2 linked regions of the Ovis aries genome follow. The protein of the gene in region 2 interacts with the protein of the main gene of each other region in a pairwise test. Links are inferred from orthologs where the notes say so. Each region holds a gene or a part of one and is shown on either strand. Other genes may lie near its edges.

Region 1 (8,390 bases), on a different chromosome or scaffold from region 2:
TCAACAACACAAGATAAGACTCTACACATGGACATCACCAGATGGCCAACGTCGAAATCAGATTGATTATATTCTTTGCAGCCAAAGATGGAGAAGCTGTATACAGTCAGCAAAAACAAGATGGGGTGCTGACTGTGGCTCAGATCATGAACTCCTAATTGCCAAATTCAGACTTAAATTGAAGAAAGTGGGAAAAACCACTAGACCATTCAGGTATGACCTAAATCATGACAGTTCCAAGGCACTGTCAAAAGACCAAGGAGTGGGTGGTGACCCAGTTCCTGGAAATTCCCACCTCTTTCCCAAAATAGTTGGAATAATCCTCCCACTCATTAGCATAAGAAATTACCCAGCGCATAAAAACTAACTATGCCACATTTTGCAGCAGCACTTGCCCTCTGCAATGGCCCACAAACTCTGTGTGTCTAGTGTGCTTCTCTCTGAATCTGAATAAATCCACTTCTTATCTATCACTTTGTCTCTCACTGGATTCTTTCTGCAATGAGACATCAAGAACCTGAGCTTCATTAGGTCCTGAAATCAGGTTCCATGGGTTTTGGCTGGGTTCTATTCCATGCAGGGTTTTGGCTGGGTTCAAATACTGGCCTCGTGGGTTTGAGTCCCAGCACATAGGTTCAAGTCCTACTCTTGAACCTATGGTTTCAAGAGAACTAGATCCCACCTGCTACAACTAAGAGTTCCTATGCTGCAAGTAAAGATCCTGCACTTCACAACAAAGATGGAAGACTCCTTGTGCCTCAACTGAGACCCAGCAGAGTAAAATAAATATTTTTTTAAAAGAAAAGAACTGGGCATGTTTATCTTTCAACAGAAGATTCCAAGGCAAAATTCTCATTTTATACAGTTGTAGAAGGAAGACTTTAGGGAGGCAGATGTTTTCCAGTAAATAAGGGAGAATCTTCTAACAATCTGTATAGTCAAACATGAAAACTATCCAGAAGGGAACTGACACCAAACAGCGTCTCCTAGGGCTGTTACACTGGGGAGGTAACAGATCTGCCTTCAGAGTTCTAATTCAGGACCCTACTGTGGCCATTTCTGGCCTCTTCCCAGAACTTGCCGGCAACTCCCCCAAACTCACAGCCTCCTGGAGGCAGAAGCAGGTCATGTTCCATGGTGTGTGCCTCCCTCATCATGTGGGTCTCTTCTGGGGCCAGCTCTCCAGAGAATCTGCCTCTGCTCTTTAACCTATTTCCCAGCATTCCCCCATCTTCCATTTTTCTTTTATTTTTCTTCCTAACCCTCACATTGATGGACAGATTGTTACCTGGTGAGTCATTTCTTTTTGTTCCTTCTAGTGGGAGCAGGGAGGAGAGGAGTTACTATCATGGTCACTGGGGTGTTCAGAGCCCAGTGCCTGGTATAGCAGGCCATCATATTTGTTCAATGAAGTAATGGTTCTCCAAAGATACAGAGTTCAGGTAGCCTTGAGGGAAGAAATTTCAGCATTATTACAAGTTAATTATGAGGCATCCATCAATGGAGGAATGGATAGACAAAATGTGGTATACACACAAAAAATGAAATACTGTTCAGCCTTTAAAAGGAGAGAAATTATGCAAGTTGCAATGTGAATGAACCTTCGAGACATTCAGTTCAGTTCAGCTGAGTCACTCAGTCATGTTCAACTCTTTGCGACCCCATGAATTGCAGCACTCCAGGCCTCCCTGTCCGTCACCAACTTCTGGAGCTTGCTCAAACTCATGTCCATCAAGTCAGTGATGCCATCCAACCATCTCATCCTCTGTCCTCCCCTTCTCCTCCTGCCTTCAATCTTTCCCAGCATCAGGGTCTTTTCCATGAGTCAGTTCTTTGTACCAGGTGGCCAGAGTATTGGAGCTTCCAATCAGTGTCAGTCCTTCCAATGAATATTCTGGACTGATATCCTTTAGGATTGACTGGTTTGATCACCGTGTTGTCCAAGGGATAGGCTACCCACTCCAATATTCTTGGGCTTCCCTTTTGGCTCAGCAGTTAAAGAATCCACCTGCAGTATGGGAGACCTGTGTTCGATCCCTGGGTTGGGAAGATCCCCTGGAGAAGGGAAAGGCTACCCACTACAGTATTCTGGCTTAGAGAGTATAGGGTCACAGCTGGACATGACTGAGGGACTTTCATGACATCAGTCACAAATGGACAAATACTGTATGATTCCACTTCTATCAGATCCCTAGAGGAGTCAGATTCAGAGACAGAAAGTAGAATGGTGGGTGGGAGGAGGATGGGGAACTATTGTTTGATGAGTACAAAGTGTCACTTTTAGGAGATGAAAAAGCTATGGGTGGTGATGGATATGTGATAGTGGGGAATGTGCTTAACACCACTGTACACTTAAAACTGGTTAGGATGGTAAACTTTGTTACTGTATTTTACTACAATAAAAAAAAAAATGTGGGTAATCAGGAGAATGTGGTCTTCCTAAAGGAAGGGTAGATAATAGCCGAGAATAACTTAAAGACTGAAAATAGCATATGATGATGCCAACCGACCAGAGAGGTTGCTTCATCTGGCTAGAACTCGAGTGACTAACAATGTTTCAACAGGACGCACTCTAGGAAGATGAGAGAACAGTGAAGAGAATGAGTTGTGTGATTCCGCGTGGTTTTTCCTACAAGACATCTCCCAGAAGTGGCCCATTGACACGGGGTCACCTCCGCAGACCCAGCCTCCGCCAAGACTCCGCCCTCTTCCAGGCCCCGCCTCCCACCCGCCAGGTTCCACCCCTCCTCCTGGATCTGCCCTCTTTCAGGCCCCGCCTCCTCTGCTCCGCCCCGGCAGAGAGCAGAGAGCAAGGGCTGGTGACTCCGCAGACGCTGCGCCTGGAAAGGTGTGGAAGGGGCGGGGAGCCCAGATCATCCCCAACCCGTCCTCCCTCCCCGCCCCGCTCCTGGCCGGCCAGCCGCCCTAGCTTGCGCAGGCCCGCGGCCACCTGGGCCTGAACGCTGGCTCGGGGCTCCACTGCTTTGGCCTGGGGGCGGGGCCGGCGCGCGGCGTCATGCATATGCATGAGCGACTCGGCGGCTCCATTGTGCCCTCGGAGCGGGCGGCGGCGCGATGGCGCGGGCGGCGGCAGCCCCGGGGCGGCGGGCGGCGCTGAGGGCGGGCTGAGCGCATGGAGCAGCGCGGACCGGGGGCCGCGGCGGCGAGGGGCCGGGCCGGGCGGCGAGGAGGTGAGCGGACCGGGCGGGCAGGTGCGGGCGGCGGGGGCGGCAGGTGCGGCAGGTGCGGGAGGCGGCAGGTGCGGCGTCCCCGGGCCCGGCGCTGCATCGCCTCGGCGGGGCCCCGGCGGGGCTGGAGCCGCCCCTGCCGCCCACCTGCCGCACCTGCGGCGCGTGCGTCGTGGTCCTGGGCCGACTGGCCCGCTGCGCGCCGAGGCCACCCCTCACCTGAGCCTTTGTTGGGGCTGGCCAGAATCCGTCCAAGCGCCCGAGGTGTCTGGGCAGGAGCCTCACGCGGGCCCTCACCCAAACTGGCCCCGCTCCCTCCTTTCTGCGCTGTGGCCTGAAGGCTCACCTTTCGGGCCCCTCCGGGCCGTGCGTGCCGTTGGCACGCGATGTGAGACCCGCGAAGGTGTGCTCTGGGGCTGGCGACCCTAACCTTTCAGCCCCCCAGCCGAGATTTTGGTGGAAATACCGTTTTCCCAACAGGAGATACTGAAGCTCAGGCGGGAGCGTGTCCAGCCCTCCTTCCCAGGAGTGTCCTACCCTAGCCTCCCCCATCTGCTCGCCGCTGCCCTGTTCCCCCCAATCCTGCTCCCCCTACCCTGCTCCTCCGAACCTTTCTTGCCTCCCCTAGACCTGCTCCCCTACATCATGTTCCCCATACTCTCTTCCCGATAGTTGCAGAATATCCATGGTGATGTATTTAAGTCATTTGTATTATCTCAGAAGATTTCACAGGGAAATACACAGAACATGTGACTCAATCTGTAAGACAGTTGATAGGGCGATCACAGACTCACCCACCAAATCCTGTCACACTAGAACCAGAGGGCTTCCCTTGAAGAAGCTAGATAGAGGTAACAGGATAGGAGAAGGATTCTTAACCTCACCCAGTGAGTACTGGCCTTGGGGACTTGTCACACCTGGAGGGTGGTTCCTGGTTGGAAAGAGAAAGGTGAGATAATGAATAACAGATTCAGAAGGACTGGTAGGCTGTGCCTGGGGAGGACTCCCAATCATAGGACTGATCTCCAGAGGCAGCCAGGCCTCCCCATGAAGTGTCCACTAGCCCTTGGATCCAGGATGGGAGCTGGGGCTGATGATTTAAGGTGGTCATGTGCCCTCCCCTCTCTTAGTCCTAGAGTGGCCACCACGTACCCATTTTCCACACTGTAAACTGAGGCTCAGGGCAGGGCAGCCCTTCAGCTGTTCTCTGGAATTTCCTACACCTGTGCCATTGAGCAATGCTCCTTCCTGGGCACCTTTGATGAACTCTGAATACTTCAGCCAGTCAGTGTGTGGCCTTCCAAGTCAAGGGGCAGGACTTCAGCCACTTGAGCATGTGAGCCCCCACTTTTATGTCCTCCTGGGACGCTTGAGCTGTTCGTTTTCCTCGTCTGAGCCTGTTTGACTCCAGTGTTCCTCTAGTTGGGGCCAGTCATCGGGAACTGTGGATTCCCTGTGCTAGAGGAGGCAGCGAGCCCCTGCTCTATGACTATGTTGGCACTGTCCTCCTGGGGTCTGGTGGGTGGTTGTGAGGTGTGCTGCTGCTGGGTGCCTAGGCAAGGAGCGTGGAGTGGGGGCAGAAGAGGTTGACCCATGGTGACGTCTGCCTTTGGAGACAGCAGTGCAGATGCTCTGAGGTCCTGGGAAAGGGGGATGTGAGGAGTGAGTTGTCTGTAGCTCTTTTACTGGAGGAAAATGTGATCTGACCCCCAGAAAGCCATGTGGCCTTCTAGACTGACATCACGCCAGGGCTTTCTGCCAAGGTCCTGGCTTCCAGTGAGAGTTGATGTACAGGGAAAGCCCCCCACCAGCAGGAAGCCGCCAGAGGCTAGCCCTGGCCCTGCACACACCCAGGCTCCTTCTTAACTCTTCTTCTCACGGCCAGGAGGTGGGAGGAGGGTCTGCACTCACACCACATCTCTCTCCCTTTGTCAGGAGCAGAGGGTCCCCCAGTCCCCAACCTGAAGAGTTTGGGGCTTGTCAGGGAAGAGAGCCGCCTTGGTTCAGGAGCTTGGCAGGAAGTCACTGCCCCCGCTCAGTAAGCTCGGGGGCGGGGGGAACTGGAAATGTCTGTGGTCTTGTCCACAGCAGAGAAGTCATAGGGGTGGAATTCCCCAGACTCACGTGATGTAGGAAGCTGTGCTGGGCCCCAGACCAGCAGCCTCCACATGGGCCCCCGCCCTGCACCTGCCCTGTCCCCCCTCCTCTCCAGCTCTCCGGGGCTTTCAAACTGTGGTACCAGCAGCAGCACCTGCAAACTTACTGGAAATGCAAGTCTTGGGCCTCACTCCACCCTCTGAACTCAAAGTGGGGCTGAGTTCTGGTGAGCCGCCGTTGGAGAAGCTGCGCTTGTGAACTAATACAGCCTCCCCTGGGGCTCTGACCCAGGCCAGGGGGGGTCTGTCTTCTTCCTGCTCTTCCCTTTGGGACAGCAAAGTGGGCCTGGCCAATCCAGCCAGCTTTAGTGTGGGAAATGATGGCCCTGGGCATCTCTGTGGGGAGAGAGAGCTGGTGGTGGTTGTACATTAAATAAATTTGTAGTTTGAGAGAATTATAGATTCTTAAGATGTTACAAGAAATGACACAGAGAGCTCTGTAACTTTTCCCTAGTGGTAACATCTTATAAAAGTGTAGCACAACATCACAGGAGAGTACAACTCCATCAATACAGTTGATACAGATATTCCATGCCCACCTTCTATATTCCCACTGGCTTCACTTCCCTGCTCTCCACCTTTAACCCCTGGCCGCCACCCGTGTGCTCTCCATTTGTGTAATTCTGTCATTTCAAGGATGTTATGTAAAGGGAACCATACAATGTGTAACCTTTGGGGACTGGCTTTTTCCATGTAGCATGGTTCTCTGGAGATTCCTGCAGGTTGGTGCCTGTGTCAGTAGCCCTGCCTTTTTATGCCTCCAGGCTCACAGTTGGTTAGCTCTTCACCACTGAAGGATATCTGCATTTCCATTCTTTGGCTATTAGGAATAAAACTGCTATAAATATTCACATACAGATTTTTGTGTGAACCTAGGTTTACACTTCTGAGATAAATGTTCAGGAATACAGTTGCTAGGTTGTATAGTGTGCTGTGTGCTTAGTCGCTCAGTCGTGTCTGATTCTTTGGACCCCATTGACTGTAGCTCACCAGGCTTCTCTGTCCATGGGGATTCTCCAGGCAAGAATACTGGTTGCCATGCCTTCCTCCAGAGGATCTTCCCAACCCAGGGATCAAACCCAAGTCTCCTTCATTGCGGGAGGATTCTTTACTATCTGAGCTACCAGGGAAGCCCTGGTTGTCTAGTGGCTGCATGCTTAGTTTTATAGGAAACTAGCAGATCATTTTTCAGAGTGGCTGTACCATTTTATATTCCCACCAACCATGCATGAGAGACCCAGTTTCTCCTAGCCAGCATTTGATGGTGTCAATTTTTTTGTTGTTGGCTGTGACAGGTCTTAGTTGTGGCCTGTGGGATCTTTGCAGCATGTGGAATCTAGTTCCCTGACCAGGGATCCAACCCAGGCCCCCTGCATTGGGAATGCAGAGTCTTAGCCACTGAACCACCAGAGAAATCACACTATTTATTTTAGCCATTGTGGTGGGTGTGTAGTGATACCTCGGTGTGGTTTTAATTTGCATTTCTCTGATGGCCAGTGATGGTGAACATCTTTTCGGATGTTTGTTTGCCATCTGTACATCCTCTTTGGTGAAATGTCTCCATATCTTTTGCCTGTCTTCCAATTTTAACTTTTGCGTTTTGAGAATTCTTTATATATTCTAGATACTTGTCCTTTGTCAGATGTGTGGCTTGCAGATATTTCTTCCAGTCTGTAACTTGTCTTTCCATCCTCTTTGTGGGGTCCTTCACAGAACAGAAATTTTCAGTTTTTCCTTTTATGAATCATGCTTTTGGTGTCAAACCTAAGAAAGTTCTTACGATTTTGTGCTATACGTTTAAAATCCATGACCCACTTCAAGTAAATTTCTAAGTTTAGGGGAGTTTTTTGTTTATGTTTGTCTTTTGCCTTTGCATGTCCAATAGGTCCGGCACCATTTGTTGAAAATACTGTCTTTCCTCCTTTTTGCATCTTTGTCAAAAACTTTGTTCATTGGGTATGTTTGTGTGGGTCTCTAATGAGTTGTCTAGTTTGTTCTATTGACCTCTGAGTCAATCCCCCTGCCAACACTACAGTCTAGAGTAGCTTGCCTATGTTGTAAGTCCTGAAAACCCTGTGTATTGCTTCAGGCCCCACTCAGCAGGTCTGGGGGGAGTTTCTATCTTTTGGAGGCCCCCCTCATCCCTCATTACAGCATCACCCTCCTGGTGGTTGCCGCCCCTGGGGACAACCAGCCTTCCCCTGCCTGGCTGGGTGATTCTGGCTCCCAGGCCCGAGTCCAGCGACCCCTGAGCCTTCTGGAGCCACCGGCCCCTTGCGTTTTTGGCCTCTGCTTCCTGGTTGTCACATGGTCTGGAGCTTGACTCCTCTGGGGAGGAGCATAGCGAAGGGGTGCAGGGTCAGGTGTGAGGTGGACAAGCCCACCAGATGCCTCCTTCCTCTGCTTGTCTAATCCATCACCTCCCCTCCCAGCCCTGGCTCCAGTTCGAGAACCTGCTTTCCCCAGTGCTCTGTGGGGGGCCTGGGGCCCAAGTCATAGTCCCCACTGTTTCCTTGACCTGCTCTGGGGTCCTGTGGAAAGACTGTGGAGGAGCCCCAGCTCCAGGTGCCTTCAGAACGGATTTTGCACGGGATGTGATTGTAACCCTGCCTCCCTGGGGCTGCCCTGTCCGTGAGGTCCTGATGGAGTGTGAGCTCTGGGTAGTCCCAGGGCTGCCCTCTCGCTCCTGAGCCAGAGGCAGGCAATGTGAGTTCTGAGGAGGAGGCTGAGACCCCCTGAGAACCATGGCCACGGTGGTTAGGCTAAGTGGAGGTGTGTGTGGAAGGTGGCCCTGGGAGTGCCAGCTAGGGCCCTCGGCCTGGTAGGTGAAGGGTTTGCTTGCAGTGGTGTCTGAAGGCGTTGGCAGCCTGGAGGAGAAGCCAACCACTGTCTTGCTGGTTTTCTGAGGTGCCAAGTGGAAGAGAGCTGGCCCCACACTGTGGGGGGAAGCATCCCCCCTTTCCAGCATCAGCACACAAGCTCCATGAGTGTCCACTATGTCTCCACATGGTCGCCACCAGCCCTCTGCGCACTGCGCTGTGTGTGT
Region 2 (7,838 bases):
GGTTCCAAAGAGACAGCGGGCCCACCCTCACCAGCTGGGAAGGAATGCCCTGGGACAAGAAGCCATGCAGGTTGACCTGGTCACCAGAGAGGAGTGGCCCTAGGCCCTCCAGGGACAGGTGCTGCCCCCTTCGGGGTGGCTGTAATTCCATATGTGGGTGCTCAGGTGCACCTGCCAAAGGGAAGGGAGAGGAGAGGGAAGAAGGGTCATTCTCAGAGAAGCTAGAAAGGGTTCTTCTCGGGAATGTAAAAGCTGTAGCAAGTCTATTTTCCTCAGGTACAATGGATGAAGAGGGAAGAAAAGTTTCTCAGGGGGCAATTGCCGTGAGCTCAGCCATTTTGAAGCTCAAGGATTAGAGAAAAGTCATTAGGGACATCTAAGAACTCAGAGAAACAGACAAATAAAGGCTCAGATCTGGGAGGTCCTTCTATAGAGCTCTCACTTCCTGCTCCTTGGGTCAAGGGGCAGCAGGTACAGAAAAACTGGCTCATGGAATGGTGGGGTCATCTTTTCGGGGAAAGGGAGAGAGCCCTGGGGAAGTGATAGAGGGTGAGCAGCCTGGGACCAAGGAAAGAGCAGCAATATTCTGAGGGCCATGGGGGGCAAAGGGCTGTACCTGGTGGTGGGCCAGCAGCATGTGCTTCTTGAGGGTAGCCCGCTCAAGAAAGCCCTGCCTGCAGAAAACACAAGTGAAGAGCAGCCCCTCCTTGGGGTGGGTTTTCTGATGCTCCTCCAGAGCTGCTTGGGTGGGAAAGGTCTGGCCACACACCTCACAGGCCTTTCGGCCACTGCTCTCCCCGGGCTCCTTTCTCATCACTTCCTGCAGGCTCAGCTCCTCCACCAAGGGGGTGCTGCTGCCTTCCCCTTCAAGGGCCAGCGCTGACCCTGGGCTGGAGCTCCTCTCCGGTTTTGCCCCCTCTTCCGTGCCTCCGGCAGCATCACTGCCTCCCTGCTCCTTTGGCTGTGTCTGATCCAGGGTGTCAGCTGGTGGCGGCGGCAGCAGACACGGCTGCTGAATGGTCTTCTCATTAGTGTCCATCTCCTTCCCAGCTGTGGTCACCGCTGCCACAGTCCCCACTTCCTCCTCAGTGCCAGAGGCCTCTTCTGAATCACCTCGCACGGATATGGCCTTCTCCCCTCCACTTTCAGAGCCTCTTCCGGCCAGGGAATCTTCATCAGTCACATCTTCTTCCTCTTCTTCATCCTCTTCCTCTTCTTCAGACAACTCCTCCTCTGGGGATGGCTGCTGGGATGGCTGCTGGGGGAAGCCCCCCGCTCCGGAGACTGTCGATTGCTCAGAGCCGTTCTCCTGGGCAGCTCCCCCCGCTTCCGGGAGTGCAGTGCCACCATTGGGGATCTGGCCCCCCAGGTGCATCCGAACATGCTGCTGCAGAGTAACAGCGTTGGTGAACTTCTTCTGGCAAATGGGGCAGGAGTTCTGGGCCCGGGCAGCTGGACTAGCCTTATGGCCCACGAAATGTGCACGCAGATTGCCTCGGGTAGAGAAAGCTCTGCCACACACTTTGCATTTGAAGGGCCGCTCACCTCCATGCTGACCGTAATGCAGGCGCAGTGCCCGAGGACAGCTCAGCACCCGGAGACAAATGACACACTGGTTGGGTCCAGATGAGGCTGATGATGAAGCTGCAGGGGCAGAGGTTGTGGGGGCACCCGAGGCAGTAGAGGCCACTGCCACAGCTCCTTGACGGTCAATCTTTTCTACCAGCTGCTGAAGCTTGGAGGTCTCGGAGGGTGAAGCCCCCAAGGGCTCCAGCACATAAGGGAAGGGGAAGCTACCAGTGGACTTCAAGTGGTTGGTAAGCAGGGCCCAGCTGGGTAGCGATGTCACCAGCTTACTTAGCTGCATGCGGGTTGCTGCACCACTTTCTGCCACCCCGGCGATGGCTGAGCCCTCACTCCCCGGCGGGGTGTTTTCATCCGCTTTATTCTTTGGCTCTACTGCTTTCATGAGCACAAACTTATTGAAAGCAGGAAGCGCAGGGGCCGTAGTGGTGCCTGCACCGGTGGAGAGCAGCGTGAGGCTCTCTGTGGCACTGAGGGCGGCGGTGGAGGCCACCAGAGGCTTGCGTTCCACACCTCCACCCGGCACAGCTGCCTCCTCCTCAGCCTTCTCTGGCGGCACCGACATACCATAGGGCAGGCCGCTGCTGGTGATAACATAGTCGAGATGCTCTGGAACCGGGTGAGGGTTCATCTGCACATGTGGGTACTTCTCCCGATGCCGGTGGAAATGCACTTTGAGGTTGCCTCGCGTGGTAAAGCGGTTGCCACACACATTACACTTATAGGGTCTCTCGCCTGTGTGGGAACGCAGGTGGATCTGCAGGGCACTGTCACTACCAAATACTTTGGCGCAGAAGCGGCACTTGTGCCTCCCACCGGGCTTCTCCAAGGGGCCCATCACTTCCCCATAACCCAACTCTCCACCTCCATTCTTTGGCTTCAGGAGCCCTGGGGAAGCAGCAGCCTCGAGGCCCCGGGCTGCCCCAAGACACTGCGCTGCCAGGAGTCCTGTAGTGCCTGGGAATGCCAGGTGAGGCGAGGCAATCAGCTGATCCGTGCTGCCCGACAGGGCCGGGGAGGCTGCAGGGGTGGGTTTGTGGCTTCGCCCGACCACACCAGCAGAAAAAGGGTGCTGTGACCCCAAGGGGTGGTAAAGGTGGAAGAAAGCCTGCTTGGGTGCTTCTGCCCCTGAGGAGGAGGTGGAGGAAGGTGCCAGTGTTTTGCCAGTTTGGACAGGCTTGATGGGACTGAAGAGAGGCAGCAGGGGCTTGGTGGAGGAGGCAGTCCCTGTCCCAGGTAGCTCCGAGGGACTGGAAGGGGTGCCCACTGTCTGGCCTAAGGAGCCTAGCAGCAGCACCTGCCGGCAGATTTGCTCAGTCATCTGCATCTGATGAATCTGGCGCTGCTGCAGCACCCGGAGTTCTTCCAAGATCAGAGGGATGTTCAAGTGGCCACTGCCTACCCCTGAGGGGGGAGGAGGAGGCGGAGGAGGAGGGGGTGCAGGGGTGGACTCCGGCGGTAATGGAGTCGCTCCCAGCTTGGGGCTGGCCAAGATCAGGCCCCCACCTCCCCCAGCTGCTGTACCTGTGGCAGCAATGAGGAAGTGCCCGGAAGACTCCTCTCCCCTCCGCTCGGGGCCCCAGGTGGGATCTGTGGGTACAGAGGACGCGCAGTCCGAGGGGTTGCTTTGCTCGGCCTCCATGGCCTGCGGACTACTGTGGCCCTCAGGCCGAGGCTCGCAAGAGGTCGAAGAGTTGTTGGGGTTCTCCTGGCCCCCAATTATCACCATTACAGGGGGATCAGTAGAACATGCATTCTGGTGGGCGAGGAATTCAGCTGGGTCAGTGAATTGTGCGCAGCACTTGGCACAGACTTGGGGGTGGTCGTCCTCGCTCACATCACCTGGGGAAGAACACAAGGAGAGAGCGTGGGTGGTGCGGTTGGGATGGATATACACAGGCTGTAATTAACAAGGAGCCCAGTAACCGCTAGTGGGGGTGGGGAGATGAGCTCACCATCAGGCCGTGCAGAAGGCTAGAGCTCAGGGCTGACCCGCCTGGACACGACACGCCAGCACTGGGGGCCAGGAAGGAGAGGAGCGGGCATGCACAAGCTACTGTCCCCCTTCTATCCCCTCGCACCCCGGGTCACCGGCGGGCGGAAGGACAAGCTGGGAGGACCGGGTCCTGGGCAGAGAATCGTCCGTTTTATCTCGTCCACCGAAAGTCCTTTCCCCCTCGCCCAGCGCACCCCCTCCACCCCTACCCCTGCAGGGCCCTACCGCACCTCCAAGCTCCGCCGGCTCCCCGCAGGGCCCCCCGAGACGAGCGCTCCTCCCGGCTTCGTGCGCCATGGTTGTGCGGGAGGTGCAGGGCCGGGTGGAGTGGGAGACAATGGGTATCCGGATTGGGGGAGGCGGCACTGGCCGCCCGGGCTGCAGCAGCCTCTGCACCCAGCGGCCCGGACTGCAGAGATGGAGATCGCGGCGGGGGCAGGGCGCAGCGGAGGAGGGGGAGGGGAGCGAGGAGACGCGGAGGAGGGGAGGAGCTGGAGCCAGAAAGCTGGGAGAGGGGAGATGGGGGAGGAGCTGCTGGGAAGGGGAGTCTGTGGGGAGGAGTTGCTGGGGAGGGAGGCGGGAGCTGGGGAAGAAGAGAGGGGGCGGGGGACGGGTGTACGGGGGCGGGAGCCCAGAGCACAGGAGGGTTTCCGGTAGGCTCAGTGACAGGTGCTGTGGGGCCTGGTGGGGGTCCACCTATCCTTGCCCTCTGCTAGCTCCCCCATCTCCAGATGTCTTTGCCCAGACCGGCCCGCCCACCTCCCCAGCAAGCTCAAGGGGGCGCAGTAGGAAACACAGCCTTGCTCAATAGAGCAGAGCGATAGGCTTCTCTTATTTTCCTTCGGATAAAGGATCCGCTGAGCCTGGAAAACGTGGACTCCAGAGAGGGTGGTCTGAGGGCCAGAGCGAGAGGGGGGGGGGTCCCAGAAAATCCACCCCTTATCTACACACATTCACACCGCCCCTGCAAATGCCCCAAGTTTTGTCCTGTTTTCTTCACCTCCATTCCCACCCTACCCCCACACCCCCTCTACAAAAGAAGCTTCTCAGGGTGGGAGGCTGAGAGGTAGAATTTCCAAGGAAGTCGATTCAGGACTCTTCTCTGCGGAACACTAAGCCCCTTTACTCCCCGCCCCTCCTCCCCCAGAATAATAGCTGAATGCAAGTTATTCCACGGATCACCCAGCCCACACCTCATTTACAGAGTTCATGCTTATTAAAGGAGTCATCTCCTATTTAGTTTCCTCTTCTCTACCCTTCTTCCTCCGTTGTCCTTCTCTAGCAACGCAGACACTATTACGGATGTGCTGTTTGGGGGTGATGCTAGTTTGCAGAGGCCCACCTAGCTTTAACCTGGGGGGAAGGGAACTCCTCCCGAAACAATGGGGAAAATGCAGTAGGAGGGAGCTACCAGGCAGCCTCTCGGGGCCTAAAGTCCCTCTTAGCCCCAGGCTGGGTTGAATGCCTAGAAATAACACCTGCTCACTGCACAGAGGTGGCCTCCTATTAGGAGAGAGGATTAAGGGCGTAAAATGCCTCCTGGACCAGGTACTCTGCATTCCCTTCCTATCTTGAAATGAGCCTTAATGGCTTTCCAACTTCCTTAAAAGAGCTTATCTTTCTTACAGGAGGTGATAAGTCCTTAGTTCAGTGTTTTGCCTGGGCATCAGTAAATCCACCTTGTTCTAATCCCAGTTCCGTTCTTGCCTGGCTGGTAAATTGAGGCGTGGTGGGCAGTCACACCATGACTGCACTGCCATTTCCTTTTTTGTAAAGTGGTAATATTGTAGCTATGTTGGCTTCATCAGAGAAATATAGTGGGGATAAAATAATCTATATATATAGGACTTCAAATTTTGGGAGGAGTCCTAAATATTATGAATTAAAGAACTTATATTTAAGTGGCAAAAAAAAAACCAAAATAAGCTAAAATACATATATATTCAAATTAGGTCTGTTTTCATGTTGCCTATTAATTTATTTTAATTTATTTATTTTTGGCCAAGCTGTACGGCTTACTCAGGATCTTAGTTCCCTGAACCCAGGTCCTTGGTAGCATAAGCGTGGCATCCTAACCACTGGACTGCCAGGGAATTAGCAATCTTATTCATTTCTGAGGCTAATATCATTGGCATATGTTAAGAGTAGGAAGTCTTTTGGGGTGGGAGCTGTAATAGCCATTTCCTTCTCCAAATATTAATGTTAGTATAATGTAATATTAATATTAGGCTTTCCAGGTGGCGCTAGTGGTAAAGAATCCATCTGCCAATGCAGGAGAGGCAAGAGACATGGGTTTGATTCTTGGGTTGGAACGATTCCCTGGAGTAGGAAAAGGCAATCCACTCCATTATTCTTGCCTGGAAAATTCCATGGACAGAGGAGCCTGGCAGGCTACAGTCCATGGGGTTGCAAAGAGTCAGACATGACTGAACACACACACTGAGTTGTATATAATATAGACATAGTTGAATGTTAATATTAGTATAATATTAATAATGTCCACTTTCATTGAAAACATTGTACTGAATTGTTTTGAAACTTCAGATAAACACAAGGGTCTTGATACTGTAGACAATGGCTCTGAAACAGAGGAGCTCCAGGCTTCCAGACCTGACCAGGGAGGGAGAGAGGATTCTGTGTCAATTATGGTAAGTCACAGGTTAACTGCAATGTTGTTTATTTTTATAGATAAGGAAGTTGAAGCTTGGAGAGGTTAAGTGACTTTTCCAAGTTCACACAGTAATTCAGTGCAGCAAACATTCAGAGTTTTGACTCCTGTCCAATACTTTCCCAAGCACATCAACATTGTGTAGCTTCCCTAAGCTAGAGAAAGGGCCTTGTGTGGTTCCTACCTGCCATTTGCTCTGCAGCCTCAGTGAGAGAGAAGGAATCAGATGGACTCTTTCTACTGAGCATTTGTTAATTAGCATTGAATGTTTGATATCAAGTTGCTGTTTTGTCAAGTCTTCCAACAAGAAAAGAAATCCTTTTCTTTTCATCTTCTCCTGGGAAACACTGTCCCCTTTCTAGCTCTTTAATGAAACTTGCTTTCTGATGTGTAATTTGATCTGCACTCTTCTTAAAGGTAAATTCAGTCCCTGTTGAAAGGTGATGGATCAACAGCCACCTGTAAGAGGAGCCCTCTTTTTCTTAGCACTTTGCACTCACTGCCTATCCTGAAAAGGGGGGTGGGATTCTTAGGCAGACACGAATGAAATCATAAACACAGGACTAAACAAACCTGGTAATGGTGTCCCTAGATAGCAGATAAGGTGAAGTAAGCTACCCTGGGTCACATGCAAAGTCTGGGATGGACACAGGACTGAGACCTGGATATGCTGGTTTAAATTTATAAAGAGCTGAAATACAAGGAAAAATGAAATCAGGTGACTCTCTAAATCTGGTGGCTCATCAAACTTAGGAAAGGATGGCTCGGAAAACAGAAAAATCGGTGTGTAGCAGGTAGACTTGAACACAGGTTCTCAAACTTTGCTGCCCATTAGAATTACTGGAAGAGCTTTTAAAAATTGCAGTGGCCAGGCTGTGTGTGCGTGCATGCTAAGTCTGATGCTTTGTGAAGATATGAACTGTAGCCTGCCAGGCTCCTCTGTCTGTGTGATTCTCCAAGCAACAATACAGGGTAGCCATTTCCTCCTCCAAGGAATTTTCCGGACCCAGGGATTGAATCTGCATCTCTTAGGTCTCCTACGTTGGCTGGTGGGATCTTTACCACTAGAGCCACCTGGGAAGCCTGGCCAGGGTGGGTCTAGGCATCAATGTTTGTAATGTTCCTCAAGTGATTCCAATGTACAGCCAAGGAGGAGAACCATAGTGTGTATCAGAGGAGTGCCTTTCCCAGCAAACCTTCCACCCTGCTTCTCACAAATCTTCAAAGTGGAAAAGTAGAAAGTGCTGTAATGTCTGACTCTTTTGTGACCCCATAGACTGTAGCCTGCCAGGCTCCTCTATTCATGAGATTTCACAGGCAAGAATACTGGAGTGGGTTGCCATTTCCTTCTTTAGGGGATCTTCCCGACCCAGGGATCAGATCCGTTTCTCCTGCATTGCTGGAGAATTCTTTACTGCTGAGCCACCAGGGAAGGTCACAAATCTTACCTGTGTTCAACTTTACAAAAATCAGGACATAAGTAAAATGAGTTGCTCAGTGCAAAATAAAATCTGCCTGTTGGGTTCTCTCTCTACTCTGACCACAGGTACATTTTGACTCTCTTGTGCCGTGCTTCCATGAACAGAAATT

The links.
Region 1: the proteins of SALL2 (region 2) and ZMIZ2 interact in binary tests that used the Homo sapiens proteins (3 or more experiments, as listed by UniProt). The two-hybrid records come from large-scale screens. The link is inferred for Ovis aries from reciprocal best matches to the Homo sapiens genes SALL2 and ZMIZ2.

Annotation. Positions count from the first base shown.
Region 1 is NC_056057.1:78,416,996-78,425,385, reverse strand, and holds the start of ZMIZ2 (zinc finger MIZ domain-containing protein 2), read left to right. Parts: upstream 1-2,761; 5' UTR 2,762-2,848; intron 2,849-3,040; exon of another isoform or gene 3,041-3,191; intron 3,192-3,289; exon of another isoform or gene 3,290-4,137; intron 4,138-8,390. UniProt on the Homo sapiens protein: Increases ligand-dependent transcriptional activity of AR and other nuclear hormone receptors.
Region 2 is NC_056060.1:23,997,404-24,005,241, reverse strand, and holds part of SALL2 (sal-like protein 2), read right to left. Parts: intron 4,000-7,838; exon of another isoform or gene 3,878-3,999; coding exon of another isoform or gene 3,811-3,877; intron 3,427-3,810; coding exon 488-3,426; 3' UTR 1-487. UniProt on the Homo sapiens protein: Probable transcription factor that plays a role in eye development before, during, and after optic fissure closure.